Diceros bicornis minor: one gene and its partner. The protein of the gene in region 1 interacts with the protein of each later gene in a pairwise test. Links are inferred from orthologs where the notes say so. Each region holds a gene or a part of one and is shown in the gene's direction. Other genes may lie near its edges.

Region 1 (7,832 bases):
TGAAGTCACACTGCCTGCTCCCGTGGGTGTGGTTGATTGCCCTCCTGGCTTCTGGGCCAGGGCAAGCAAGAGGCTAGTTGCAGAAGGTTGAGTGACCACCGTCTGAGCTGAGACTTAAAGGAGCAGAGGCTGGAATTACAGTATTCTTCCCACCGCCAGCAACCACGTGCCTCCCATCCCCACTGGGGAATTGGGATGAGGGAAGCTGGGCTGGAACAAAGCTCTGCCTAAGGAGGAGCGAAACAGGCCCTGTAGTTAGAGGAAGGCCAGAGGAACAGCTTTGTGTTCTGGCGTTCCCTCAGGGAACAGCAGAGAGCAGCTGGCCCTCTCTGCTGCTTGTATTTGTTAATATTAAAAAAGAGAGAGAGGAGTGTATTTGGTTTCCTTCCAGCTCTGACTGATCAGCCGATGAAGTAGGCGACCAAAGAGTTCTAAACCTCTGACATGTCAGCTTTTCCTTAACACCTGGGGGAGAGGGCGAAGAGGGCTATTATGGCCACTAGGTGGTACTGTGGTGCCTCGCTAATTGACCATTGCCATGGCTTATGGATAGTGGAGGGCCTAGATTCTTTTCTAGCCTCTATGGACCAACTTGTGATCCTGAGGTGGTGTGCCTGAGCCTTTTTCCATAGGGAGTCCTAGTCCAAACACTTTTCTGCCAGAGGGTGATGATGCCAAGTGTAAGTCAGTCCATTAACCACCTACCAGTCCCTCATGTACTTTGTCCAGTTGATCCAGTACTGCTGTCAGGGAAGCTGAGCTACTTTTCATCTTAAAGAAAAGGAAATTTGCTCAAGGTCTCATGACTCCTGAGGGGTAAGGCTAAGGACTTGAGCCTCATAATCCAGCACTTGAGCCTCATAATCCAGAATTCTTTCTGCTTCAGCTTATTCAGTGTCCAGGTAAAGGGAAATGGCCCTCACAGGCAAATATAACCCCAAGCCAGCAATGGATATCCTAAGACAGAGGAAGATCCTGTGAAATGGGCTTTCCTCTGATATTGAGAGACTGATTACTGTATGATAGGCATTTTGCTTTTTTTTTTTGCTAAATATTTTTCATGTGTTATTTTAGTTAACCTTCACATCAGCCCTGTGAGGTAGGTCTTATCCCCATTTTCAGATGAGGAGCCTGAAGTTCAAAGAGGTCCCATAGCTGGTAATTGATAGAGCCAGGATTTGTTATTGGACTCTAAAGCTGGAATTTGTCAGTTTGCTGTATTGTCTCCTCTAACCTCAACCATGAGACATGCCCTTCTAGCTCATCTTTTTGAGCTCTTGGTTGCCTTCCTATAACCCTTACTCTGTTGACACTTAAACTGTGGCAAATGTTACTGGTAACAAGTAGCCCTCCTGGACATCATAGATAAAATGGTTGCCTTTCTTCATTTCATTTGGGTGGAAAGGAATAAGCTGAGGAAGAGGATACTGAACTGTACTCAGGGGTTTGAAGGGGCATTACTGAGTATTTCTAAAGAAGAAAAGATAGGCTGGCCGGGGTTTGACTTAATTTACTTTTCTTATTCAATAAATCTCAGTTTCTGTTTATGGCATGGACCTAATAGGGGCAGTTAAATACAAATAGTTATAGGGCACCTCTGATTTGTACCTAATGGGTGGCAGAGATCAGAAGTGGCCTATAGAACTTTTTAGGAGGAAGAGGGTCCTTCCAGTTGGGGTGATTAGGGAAGGCTTACAGGATTGTGATGCTTGAGTGGCCTAAAAAACAGAAAAGGTAGAATGGCAAAAGCAAAGCCAAGGATTTCTACTTAAATGTGCAAATTAAAGACATGGGCTTTTTACTCCCTCCAAAACCCATTCAAATGCCAGTAAAGGACTTCAAAAAAGGCACATGATTCAATGATAAGGAAAACAGGAGGTGATGACAATAATGAGAGACATCAACATTTTGGAAAATGAAAAATAAATGGAAGAGTGAAAGTTGACCTGGCAGAGCAGAATGAGATGGGTTTTACCTGCTGAGGTGGTTATTAACAAGAAGCAAACCAGTGTGCCCTTCTGGACCCAGAAAAGGCTCAGCAGAGGAGGTAAGGATTGGGGCTGAGAGCTAGAGGTGAGGTGGAAGGAAATTCGAAAAAGATCTGTTTAAGAAAAAGCCCCCCAGGTCCCCCTCATCTGATCCAGCCAGGTGATTACCGCAACTTCTCCCCCGCAAGAAATGGAAGATTGAGTCTTTGGAGAAACGATGGGGAGGAAATTATCAAAGAAATATTTACAAAGGTTTCCTAAACCCATAGGTCATGAGTTTCCAGACTGACAGAGCCCATGAGCACCCAGCATAATGAATGAAATAGCCCCATGAAATTTCAGAACCTCAGGGAATACGTAAACTATTAGAGCCTCTGGACTCAACAGCAGGCATGGTAGAGATGCGGGTGAGGGGCTAGATTGAAAATGAGGGATTAAGTGATAGTATATGAGTGGTAAGGCTCTGAATATCAGCATACACCGACTTATACTCCCAGGCGAAAACAAACTGAACAACTGCAGAAAAAGGACCTGCAAATACTTAACATTTTTTATTTATTCGGGGAGAAGTCATCTTTCCCCCACTGGATCACCCTACAGTGAAGCCTGTTAGTTAATAAGCCGTATGCATGGACAGAGCTCCCAATCAGCTTTTTAGTATCTCACTCTTAAACGTGAATAGACTGCTTAGGGCCATCAAACATTTGAGGAAACTTCCAGCGTGAAAGGCAGAGACCAAAACACAGAAAATTGAAACGAAGGAAACAGTGACAAAGTAGGGAGCTTTTTGAAAACTTCAGGAGGGGAAAGCTATAATTAGTATTCTCAAAACTCAAAGAGGAAAGATATTGTGTCTGTGAAGGAACAATTGGAGAACAAAAGAGTTCTTAGAAATTAAAAATAAGTAAATGAATTATTTCCTTTTGAGAGCTGGAGGACTAGAGAACCAAATAGGAAAGAGACTGTACATCCATCCTTATGTACTTGAATTTTCAATCGGGAATATTTTACCTATCCAATTGGATAGGAGAAAGGTTGGAAATAATGTTAACAAAATCTTGCAAAGAGATGAAATCATTTAAAAATAAAAGGAAATGGGGGCCGGCCACACATATTACTTTAATAAAATTTAAAGTAAAGAGAAGGGTATGAAATGAAAATATACAAGGTGTGTGCAGGGGCTAGCAAATAGGTTGATTTGCTGAAGTAAAAAATTTAGCCAGGACATACTGAAACAAAAGGCTTTAAAGGTAGGAAAAAGTTAGATTATGGAAGGCTTTGAATATCATGCTAAGAATATTTGGAAGGCATTGGGGAATGTGGAGAGTTCTGAGCAAAAGAAGTGTCTGAAAGAGGTACAGTCATGCGTCGCTTAATGACAGGGACACATTCTGAGAAATGCGTTGTTAGGCGATTTCATAGTGAACATCATAGCATGTACTTACGCAAACCTAGATGGTATAGCGCACTACACACCTAGGCTATATGGTACTAATCTTATGTATATTCGGTCCATTGTTGACCAAAACCTCATTATGCTGCACATGACTGTACTTACTCTTGAAATGCTAATTTGGCCACAGTGTACAAAATGGAGTGGGAGGAGCCCACACTTGTTACTGTGGCCTAAAAGGACCTTTGTGATCTGGTTCCAATCTACCTTTTCAGCCTCATCTACCACTATCCCTATAGTCACAATGGCCTGCTTCTTGTTCCTCAAATTTGGCGAGTTTATTCCTGCCTTAAGCCTTTGAATTTGGCTGTGCCCTCTGCCTGGAATGCAGACTCTGGTCTGCCTGCTGCAGACCAGACCTTCTTATAGCTGCTTCTTCATTAATTCTAGGTCTTAGCTCAAATGGAAGAGGCCTTCTCTGACCACCCATAATCCTCTTTCCGGTTATTATCACATCACTCCATTTTATCTTTTTCATAGCATTTGTCACTCTAAAGTTATTTAAATACAAGCTTGTGCCTCCTTGCAGATGAGCCAAGGTCCTGAGGGCAGCCTGTCTTGTTTTTGCTGTATCTTATACAGTTTGCCTTGCACATAGTAGGCACTCAATATTTATTAAATGAATTAAAAGCTAAGGAGTGAGGAGGTCTATTAGGAACTGCTTATACCTAGTTCTCCGTTTGAGAGCATTTTCATTATTGTACCCATTCTGGATTCAATCCACTTATTAAACCACTACTTTGCACCTAGGTACTGAGGTTTTAAGAAGGAATTAGAACTCGATCCTGTTCTGTCCTCAAGGAGCTCAGTTTGGAGACTCAGTGAGAGCAGTTGTGCTTCTCAACAGACCCTAAATGGCCATGTCGAGGTCACTTTCTTCCAGCTATACATGATCAGAACCGCGCTCCCCCTCCCATCTCTGGGAACCAAAGGGACCCCTGCATTTCACCCCTGCCAGCTGCAGAGGAGCAGCCAAGATCCCCCTCGGGTCCAGAGCAAGGTCCTTGAAGAGTCCAGGAAGGCGGCCATCCTAGTGAGATCTGCCCTTCCATCTCTGGGGGCCTAGGTGACCGTCGCGACGCTCGCCGCGCGCCTGGGACCGGAGCGCAGGAGCAGGAGCGCGCCGCCCGGCCGGTGGGCGGGGTGTCCGCGGGGCCAGGCCCGGGGCCAGGACATCTGCCGCGAGGCCAGCGCGGCTGGCGGCGGCGGGGGCGGGGCCGCGCCGGGGCGGGGCCGCGCCGGGGCCAGGGGAGGGGAGCGGGCCCGGCTGCAGCCCAGAGCCGAGAGGGCCGCGGCCACCGGAAGAGTCGCCGTCGCCAGCCGAGCCGAAGAGTGGGGAGCGGAAGCGGCGGCCGCGGCGGCGGCAGGCGGCGCTGGGACCCGGGAGCGGCTGAAGAACAAGGGAGCTGGCGCCGCGGCCGGCCGCCGACTGGGCTGAGCCGCTGGGTCGCGCCGAGCGCCGCCGCCGCCCGAGAGGCCCGGCCCGGCCGCCCAAGCAGGCCGCGCGCGGGCCGCCGGGCCCGAGGCCGGAGCCATGGGCGAGACCAAGATCATCTACCACCTGGACGGGCAGGAGACGCCGTACCTGGTGAAGCTGCCCCTGCCCGCCGAGCGCGTCACCTTGGCGGACTTTAAGGGCGTTCTGCAGCGACCCAGCTATAAGTTCTTCTTCAAGTCTATGGACGACGATTTCGGGTGAGGATGGCCCCCGCCTCGCCTCTGGGGGACCCCAGCCCCTCCGGCTTCTGGGAGCCACTTGGCCAGTTTGGACTCCCCTTTGCTACACTGGCTCCTAGCCCTGCTCTGGATTCTAAGGGGCGACCCGGCTATTTGGGCCCCCTTGGCTTTTTCAGAGGCTGGAGTTCAGCCCCTCGAGGGACTCTCGTTTCCCCTCTTTCGGGGGACCTTGGTCTCCCTAGTTTAGGGTGACGTTCAACTCCCCCAAAGCAATCAGAATTTCAGCCCAGTCAAGTCCCCTCACCTCCTCAGAGACCAGCGGCCCACATAGACAGACACACACCCCCCTCCACCCAGTTCCAGAGCCAGAATCCCCAACCCTCCTCCTGCCAAGGGAGCCACCTTTGTAGCATAGACTTGGGGTGTTGGGCACTCGGCCTTCGCCTGCTCCATCTTTTCGGCTCCACAACTCAGAGCCATATTTGGAGTATCATGCATCTAAGGGCTATGGTGCAGGACTTTGAACTGGAGGAGGGGGTGAGATGGAGGGTGCTTAGGCGCCAGGCTGTAAGCTAAGGCCTGCAGACCTGATGTTTATTTAGCTGTCTCCCCTCTCTCTCTTGGGGTGTTCAGGATGTTATCAAGGGAGCAGAGCGCCGGCCCCTGGGAGGAGTCCTCACTAGCCCAGGTGCTGATTTTCCCTCCGAATTGGGGCCTTTTTCCTCCAGATGGTGGCCGAGGAGGAGACCTTGGAAAGGGCCTCAGAGCCTGGATGGGAGGGCCAGGAAGAGTCTCTTAGTGTTCTTCATCTTCCCCTCCCTGGCGGGGTCTTCTCCACCCAGCTGCAGGGCTTTGGACAGGCGGAGTTTGGAAGCAGCGACTTCCCCTTTAAGAGGGGATGGAATGTTGGAGCCGGAAGGTTCTGTAGCAGCTGGCCTAGGAGGGGGAGCCTGGCCGATCCCCTCACCACCCCCCCAACTCCCAGGAGACTGGGGGAGGGGGAGGCCCCCACACTAGTCTGCCCCACACTAACTGGGCACTGGGCCTGGAGGCCTGTGGGGAAGGCCCTCCTGGGCCCTCCAGGCCTAAAAGCTGCTGCTCCAGCCCTAGCTTGAGGCCTGTACTGCTCTTGGGAGCTGAGGCCCCAGAGCTGAGTGAGGGGGGACATTCTTCTCCCCAGTGTTCATCAGTGTGGCTTCTCTCCCAGGACCCCGGCCCTCCTGCCCTGGGAAGCAAAGCAAGCACCTTCTCTCTCTTCTGCCTGGCATGTTTTGCTGTCACCTTTCCCCCTGGAACTCAGAGTTCCATGAGCCCATGAGATCATAAGTGCTTTATATAGTGGGAAGTGCTATGCAGCTTCTAACTCCTGTTTCTGTTGTTGTTGTTCCTGCCCTGGGGTGGGGTACTCCTGGTGTAGTAATGATTATCTCGCTTCAGTCCAGAGAAGGACACCCCTGATTGGAAGATTCTGAAGAGGGATCGATCTGCTGGGGGTGGGAGTGAGGGGGCAGATGCCTTGGCCTGGTAAGAGAATAGAGTCAGAAGAGACCAAGATACTGCCTCAGGGTATGAGATAGGGGGAAATCAGCTAGAGTCTACTGTAGTAGGGGGCCACCCTGGGGCCAGATGCCTTGAGGGACTAGGATAAGTCTGTGTCTCCAACCGCCTCTCATCCCTGAGTCCCACTCATCCCTGAGCCCACTGGGCCTACCCCCACCTCCTGAGCCTAGACCTCTCTGGGCTGCCTCCCACTCTCCCCAGGCTGCTGTCAAGCCAAGCCTAACTGCAGTCATAGGAGGGACCCCATTACATCCACTCACTGCTGACTTAATATTGTTCTTTAAATCCACTGTCAGTCCACTCACTCTTTCTTAGCTTGACCCAATCAATAATATGAAATCACAGGTCCGATTTTTTATCTATATTTCTTTCTAAAATATGTGAAAAATAAATACTTAACTATTGAATTAAACGTTCATTCAGGTACACGCGAAGCCATCTTGCATACCTCAGTGGTACTTGAACCATCCTTTGCAAAATATTAGAGGAAACCAAAAAATTAGAGCCAATTTAACAGGGTTGAGAACAATGCTAAAAAGAAGTGGAGGAGGTTGATTTTGTTTTTATCCCCAGAAAGATTAATGAGCAAGAGAGCTGGTAGGGCTGTCTTGTCACAGAGGAATAGCTGAGGAGCATGTATATATCTATATCTCACTTACTTAACAAACTCTTTCTATGTGCTTACAGTGTGCAGGCACTGATCTAAATGCTTTTCAAATCTTTACTCATTCAATCCTTTTAACAGCCCTGTGAAATAGGTGTAATATCTCCAGTTTATAGATGAGGCGACTAGAGCACAGAAAACTTAAGTAACTTACCCAAGGTCACACAGCTAGTAAGTGGCAGAACTTGATTCAACATCAGGAATCTGCCTCCACAGTGTAGGGCCTTAATCACACAGTTGTAAGTATTATTATTATCACCATTTAACAGATACATCCTCTCTGAGGGAGATGCTGAGCCTTGGCAAACTGTAGAGGTGATAGGGCTGCCACTTATCCTAGCCCCATGAGAGGAGGGTCAGGGCAGAGGTCAGGAACCCCTGCTGACAGATGGGAAAGTAGGTCAGAGGAGGAAGGCTGCTTTCATTCAGTCTCTCCAGGCTCACCCTCTGAGGTTCTGGTTTGTAAGGCCCAAGGACTCCCCAACTCCCA
Region 2 (7,337 bases), on another chromosome or scaffold:
CTCTCTCTGCTCTCCTGCTCTGAGGCAGTTAACCCTTCCTGATGGGTCTGGAGGCGCCTGGGTAGGGAGAGCCCCTTGCCTGGAGGCAGGGAGAGGGTGATCCAGGAGATCTGATGGATCCATTCCTGTCTCCAGACCAAGGGGCAAACCCTTTTCAGTGGGGGATCTCTGGGCTGCTGGGTGTGCAGCAGTGAGAAAAGGTGATGGGCCCCAGGCATTGGCACAGCTGCCTTAGTGGAGTAGGGGGTGGGGGGTGGGGGCACCACTCAGGAAAGGTTAGAGGAGCTGAAGGAAGGAGGAAGAGATGGAGACCTTTCCAGGTGTGGAAGGGCTCTGGACTGGGAAGGAAGGAGGCCCAGGTGAAGGGGTCCCTGGAAATGGGGTCAAGGAGGAGAGGAGAGGCCGAAGGGTCCCTAGGGGGACAGGCAGGGGATGCAGCCCCTGGCGTCTTCTTTGCTGGCTTGTTGACCAGCTTTAACAAAGTAGATGGGGAACTGAGGTAGATCAGTGGGCTGGCATAGGAAGAACACCAAGTGCCTTTAGCCAGCCTGTGTCTCCTAATGGTCACCCACTCAGAGCCTCCTGGGGCAAAGGAGATAGCCACCCACATCGGGGAGGCTCTGAGGGAAGAATTCCTCCAGCTGCCTGGCAGGCCAGGCAGTCTGGCTAGGCTGGGTAGTTTGGAATGGGCTCTCATGACCACTCTGCTTCCTCTCCAGTCAGTGTTGCCTTTTTCCCTCCCACCAGGGCCCCAAATAAAGACAGCTCTTCCCCCTACCCCATCCCAGGGCCACTAGATCTTCACTCCTGAATGCTGGGGAAAAGTGCAGCCCTCCAGCCTCACCCTGCAACCACTTCCTAGGCCTAGCACGGGCTTCCTGCCACTTGGGTCTCCTTCCCTGCGACTAGGTACATTTCTCTTCTGACCCTTTTGGCCTCAATCCCTGCCCATTCATGGGCATGAAGCCAAGGTCAGCACAGGCTGGGCTGCTGACAGGAGCCTGTCCCCTCTTCTGCCTTGGCTCCAGGCTGCCAGGATGGTATGGCTCAGCTCCAGTGGTGCCTGCTGCTGTTACCCTCTATCACCAGGCTCTGATGAGGGGTGGGGGACATGAGCCCATGTGACAGAATGGGACAGGGAGAGAGAGCATTTCGTGAGGGGGAAGGTAGGGCTGGCCTGGTGGTGGTGGGGTACTGCTAGGAATCTTTGTCCTGGGAGGCTCAGGGAGGGGAGAAATCTTTTAGTGTCCTACTTGTATAGATTTGGGGATTTTGCTTTCCCTAAGGGTGGGAGGTGGGAGAAGTAAGGGGCACTTGTCCTAGGAGAACTTGGTCCTTTGAGAAGTTTCTAAGCCACAGTCTTAGCTTTTAGCTTCTATTCATACACTTCCCCTACTGGGTGGCCCCCTCCTTTAAATGTGTCCCCCACACAGCTAAGACTGTCTGGGCCCCCTTGACAGCTCTAGTGGCAGATGGGGAACGGTCTTTTAGAGTTTTATTTCCCAGCCATGGGGGCTAGCAGCGCTGTTGTCTTAAAGGCTGCCTTCCTGAGTGCTGGAGTCTCAGGTCTAGGAAGGGCTAGGCAGCGTGTGTGGTGCAGCAGGAGCCCCTCAGCCACACTCCAAGGCTGGGTTTCTCCTCTAGTACCCAGGCAGCCCCAGCACTCGGGGGTGCTTCTCTCTGGGGGTGCTTCTCTCCACCAAGGCTTAGCTCGGCCCAGCCCCTCCCTAGGCTGCTCCCAGCGCTCTGGTGACTTGACACTACCCTCGTCGCTGCTGCTCCTTTTACCTCCCAAAGCACCCCTCCCCCGCCTGAATTGGGAATGAGGCTTTGTTCTGGGCTGGACTCAGCATTTCTCAAGAACCTACTACGTGCACAGCCAGTGCTTACCGAAGAGAAGCCCTATGCCGGGTCTGGCAACACAAGGTGCCCAAGACACAGCCCCTTCCCACACCTCAGAGGGACCTCCCACACCTCCGTGTGACCTCAGCCTGCTGTGCCCACCCACCCTGCTGACCCCGCGAGCGTGCTCAGGCTTGGAAAGGCACGTCTGTGGGTGTGAGACGGAGCCACAGCATTCGGTGACTAGGGGGAAGTCAGGTAAGTGTCCACGCTTGGTCCCATCCTCGCTTGGGGACGCGAGGGAGGGAGTCCAGCCGGGGCTGTCAGGCTGCCCGCCCCCTCTCCCCTCCCCCAAAGAGCTCTGATGTTCCCCGCGGTAGTGGAAGAGGGTGTGTGGGTGTCAAGGACTCACAGACCAGGCTCTGCTGTCAGCTGGAAATGGATGAGGGTTCCACACTCTGCTTCTGGGAAGGGTGAATTAGGAGCTGGAGTAGGGGGCGGTAGGTGAAGGGGAGAAAGAGGAAAAAGAGATGCGGGTGAGGGGTTACCGAGCCAGGACCGACCTTGCTTGAAAGGAAAGGAGACGTGGCAGGCAGGGAAGTCGGAAAGATGAGGCAAGGGCGGGAGGGGCTTCTCAGCAGTCGGGGCCCTTTCGCTGGAGTCTGGGGCCCTTTCTGCAGGAAAGGGGGGTTGTCCTCGCTTGATTTTCGGCTAGTCTTTCCGAAGCTGTGCCCTGGGGGCAGCAGCCGCTGGCGAGGGTGGAGTGTTCCTCGGCCTGCAATTTTCTCCAGTGGGTGGTGGGGAAGAGAAGGGAGAAGAGGGATGTAGAGGGGTGACGGCCAGGGCGGGGGCGAGATAAGATTTCCAGGGGGGGGGTAGCAGCTGGGGGATTGGGGCTCCAGGGTCAGGTCACCATGGGATACCGGCTCAGGCTCGGTAGACGAAGAGAAAAATCCAAGAAGCCGGCAAAGAAAACCAACCCCCACCACCACCCTTGGCACCGTACCCCTCCCCCCAGGCCCCACCACTCCCCGCACCGCCTCCCCCGGCCGCCTCGTGCTGCCCCCTGCGTTGGGACGACCGACCCACGATTCTGATTGGTCGGAGATCGGGAGGGGGAGCCAAGGGCCGGATTGGCTGGCGAGGCCAGCGCAGGGCGGGGCGGCTGATTGGTGGAGCTGGCCGAGGGGCGCGCCGCTGATTGGCTGTGGACGAGGAAGCAGGAAGGAGGGCGGTGGAGGCTCCGCTCTCGGGGAGTTTGTGGGGGAACCGCGAGCGGCGTAGCGGATCCCGGAGCCCGGCCCCCGCCGCCCGCCCGTCCGGCTGCCTGCCCCGCCCGTCCGGCCCCCGCCGTCCGCCCGCCCGGGCCAGGCGCGCCCGCCCCCCCGACGGCCCCGCCCGGCCGCGGCCCCCGCTCCGCCCGCCCGGCCCCGGCCCCCAGGAGGAGGCGCTGACGCAGCAGCGTGGAGCCCGGGAATTGAGCGCCCCCGGGGGGTTCCAGCCGCCGGATTCCAGCCCGGCTGGGGCCTGCGGGCGCCCAGAGCTGCGCCGTCCGCGCCGCCGTCCCGGTGAGCTAGGGGCCGGGGTCGAGGAGGGGGGAAGAGGCGAGCAGGCGAGAGGGAGCGAGCAAGCCAGCGAGGCAGACAAGCGAAGGGGAGAGGACCGGCCGCCCGTCAGCGCGCCCCACCGAGCGCGCCGCGTCGCCGCCCCCGCCAGCCCGGGAAGGGACGGACGGACGGACGACGCGAAGCAGGTGCGGCCGCCCGCTCGCGGCGCGTCCCTCCCCCGGGTCCGGCGCCACGGTCCCGCCATCGGGGAGCGCAGCGCGCCTCGAGGTGACAGCCCCCCGGGGCCGCTCGCTTCGCAGGCCGGGGGCGGGGTGGGTGGCGGCCGCAGGGTGGCAGCTCGGCCGGGAGGCGGCGGCGCGGGCGTCCCGGGCCGCGGAGGGCGGGAGGACGCCGGTCGTTTCCTCGCCGCGGCGGAGCCGGCTCGCCTCCGAGTGCGCGGGCGGCGAGGCCCCGGCCCCCCCCGTTGCGCCCCCTCCCCCTTCGCGGTCCCCGAGGCAAGAGGCCGCGGCCGGGGGCGGCGCCGCGGGATCGCCCGCTCAGGGTGGGGGGCGCCCTCCCGCGCTGGGAGCTGGCCGGTTATTACTGGATGGGGGGCAGAGGATGGGGACCGCGCCGGGGCGGGGGGTAGTGTAGACCGGACCTGATCGGGCGGGGAGGAAGGGAGGCGCCGAAGACGGAAGGGAACCGGTTCGAGTAGCGAGTGTGGGCCGCGGGAGGCCCGGCGGGGACCGTGCGGAGCGGCGAGCGAGTCCGAGGTGGGGCGGGGGGATCGAAGTTGTCAGACCGCCTCCAAGTGACAGCGGGACCCTGTGCTCGCGGCCCGGCCTGGTCCTGCCCAGCCCGCCTCGCCGCCTCTCCTCCGGGGCGGGGTGCCGGGTCAGGTCGGGCCCGAGGGGCCCGCTCGGCGGTGAAGCGCCGGACAAAGGCGGCGCCGGAGCGGGCGCAGGTGGTGGCGTCGGGGAGGGGAGCGGGTCCGAGCCACCCACCCCGAGGGGCGGGCGACAGGACCGGACTCTGCCCCGGGGATTGCGGGGGCCGGGGCGCCCGCCGGGAGGAGCTGCGGCACTGGCTCACCGCTCCAGCCGCGGATCGCCTCGCGGTTCTGGGAAGAGAGGGGTCGACCTGGCCAGGGCAGAGGGGCAGAGGTGGGGGTGTGCACACGCTGGGCCTGGCCGGTGGTGATCGGGTTGCTGGAGTCACCGAGACGACAGTGCAGTGAGCCACTCTGGAGTCAGCCAGGAATGAGGGGTTTCAGCAAGCAGAGGCTGCCCACGGGCAGGGGTTTAATCCCACGTAGGACATCTCCTAGTCGACATGTCAACAGTGTTAAGAGGGCAGGACACCAGTTGGATTGGGGACTAGGAGACAACCCCAGATGTGCTACGGCAATGCGTCCACAAGTGCCTTCAGCACTTTTCTTTAGCCAAAGGAGATACCCACATAGGGAAATGAGAAGCTGAGTTTATAAATGCAGGCAGGCATTTAATGACTAAATAAAAAAGGTTTCCAGTCCTTTTTCCTTTGTGCGGCTTGAGACTTGCCTCCCCAGTCTCTCCACCTCTGTGTTTTCTGAAAAAAGGAGAAAAGTGCCCTAGAGGCACCACATGTCCTGGAGGGACGCCACTGTCCTTGGCCTGCTGGAGGGCACTTGGAAAGCACTGGCTTAAGCTATGAGTGCCTCTAACCCCACCAGTGACCAGCTCTAAACTGGTTGCTGTTTTCCCATTTGTAAAAACCCACTTAGAGGTACCGTGCCCCTTAATGTGACCTCATACTTAATGGAAAAGTTGGGAGACCACAAAGACAGGGAGGCTCAGGCTGTTCAGAATGTGGTCTTTTGCTAGAATCTGAGTTCGAATCCCACCCCACATAGGTGTTGGTTACTAGGTGCTCCCAGCTGTGGTTGGCTCTAACCCTGCCCTGGGAAAGCTGCCTATCAGCCTTGCTTAGTACAGACACGGAGTTAATTCATGGCCACCCTCTATCCCCTCCCCAGGAGGGTCTAGACCCTAGGCTGGGTGGAGTTGAGCCTTGTGGGAAAGGGAGGTATTACCTCTTGCAGGAGACTGAAGTTTGTTCTGAGAGAATTTAATTGTATGTCTAAGATCCAGAGAATGGTGAAGAATCTCAAGGCCTTCATGCCTTCTCTGGGGCTACACAGTACGTGATTTCTTTTGGTGGCAATCAGAAGGGGGTGACCTGGTCTGGCCGCTGGAATATATGAAGGGGAATTGCCAAAACATTTTTCTCTTTGACAAGCTCTTACCGGGCAGGAGACTCAAGTCAGTCAAAGAGATGTCTGGGAGGATTTGCTCTGGAGACTTTAGCCAGTGAAGAGCTTCTTTCTTTTTTATGTCTCCCTCCTTTTCTTTCTTTCTGTTGCTCTGCTGTCCCCATGTCAGCCCTGTGTTGTTGTCATGGCCTTTCTTTCCCTCCGGCTTCCTCTGGTCCTTCTGATCCAGTCTGTACACAGCTGCTAGATCATTCTTCCTAAAGCACTCCTCCCCCGGTGTCACTCCCCTATCCACAGACTTGCAGTGGCTCCCCTTTTCCTGCAGTCTGACCCTAGACAGTGTCCCCTGAGGCTCTCCCTTAGCTGTGCCATGCACATTTGTCTCCCTGCGTCTTTGCTTCTGCTGCTTTCCCCAGTTGTCCCCAATGAGGAGCCCCTTGCCTTCCTCTCCTCCCGCCTGAACCTCCTCATCCTTCATCTCACTGTCACTTAGGACACCAGGCCAATAATGCTTGCCTCTGCGACTGTGACACTAGAATTTATAACATGGTGTGTTTTTGAGTGGTTTTGTAGGTTGGAAGTTTCTTAAGTACAGGGACAGTATGAGTGTTAAAGCTTTGTGTGTGTGTGTGTCTGTGTGTGTGTGAGAGAAAGACTATTCCAGGATTTCTGGTATAGTGCAGTGCACATTGTTTTTGTTGAATGAATAAATGCAGTTGGCTGCTTGGTTGGGTGGGAACAGAGGGGAAACATTCCCTTCTGCTTCCCCCAGAAATGCTCAGTATGGAGTCCTTGGTGGTTTCCAACCTTTTCTGTCAATGGCATATAGATAGAGCATGTTTCGGGTGCTTTAGCATGGGGGACAAATGAAATTTAGTGTTGTTTGTGATATTCTGGCTGGTGAAGAGTCTGTCCTGTGGATTGCTCACATGATACCCTATAGACATGAATTGGAAAAGGGCTGTAATCCTGTTTTGCTCCTACCCTAGCAGGCCATTCTCTTCACCCGGCTTTGCTGCTCTTATGCAATTTTCCTTGTTGTCCATGTTAAATGAATCCATATGTTTTATCTCTTCTCAATCCTGGGTGTAAATGAGGGAGAAAACACGGTTCTGAGAACAGAAAAGAAAAGGATTGCTGGGTCTTGCCTGTGGACGGGACTTTTGGGACTAGTGTTGGAAGAGGTGTTTATAGGGGCATCGCTGACATGGGAGGCACGATCAGCCCCACACTGGACCCGTCAGAAAGGAAAGCTATGATCCCGGCTTTCTCGGAACTTGCGTTTTTGTTTACCATCAGCCCTGGACCATGAGGGAAATGGGAGAGAGGACTGGTGACTGGTTTGAGTCTAGATGGTGAAAAAATAAATTCTGCATCCATCCCCTTTCCCCCAAACCTCCCTTTTGTGCCCCAGTTTGATGATTAATGGACTAGCATTTCCCTTCCAAGCGGGAAGGCCACCCCTCACAGTTGCCATGGCAATGCAGACCGCTCCCTGTCAATTAAAAAAAAAATCCCTACTACTTCTGTCCTCCTTGCTTCTGCTCTAGCAGGAGACAGGCTACCTCAGAACGCATCTCCTGGGCTCTGTCAGCTGCCCAGGCTGTTTTTTGCTGTGTGTCCTAGAACACAGTCCTTCCTCTCTTTCGGAGGTGTGCCCGAGTTTCTTTACCCTGAGCAAATTGTGCCCTTCT

The links.
Region 2: the proteins of DVL3 (region 1) and BAHD1 interact in binary tests that used the Homo sapiens proteins (3 or more experiments, as listed by UniProt). The two-hybrid records come from large-scale screens. The link is inferred for Diceros bicornis minor from reciprocal best matches to the Homo sapiens genes DVL3 and BAHD1.

The regions. Positions count from the first base shown.
Region 1 is NC_080754.1:39,518,077-39,525,908, reverse strand, and holds the start of DVL3 (segment polarity protein dishevelled homolog DVL-3), read left to right. Parts: upstream 1-4,743; 5' UTR 4,744-4,975; coding exon 4,976-5,136; intron 5,137-7,832. Other genes in the region: EIF2B5 (translation initiation factor eIF-2B subunit epsilon), read left to right, coding at 1-3. UniProt on the Homo sapiens protein: Involved in the signal transduction pathway mediated by multiple Wnt genes.
Region 2 is NC_080744.1:38,306,450-38,313,786, forward strand, and holds the start of BAHD1 (bromo adjacent homology domain-containing 1 protein), read left to right. Parts: upstream 1-4,262; 5' UTR 4,263-7,337.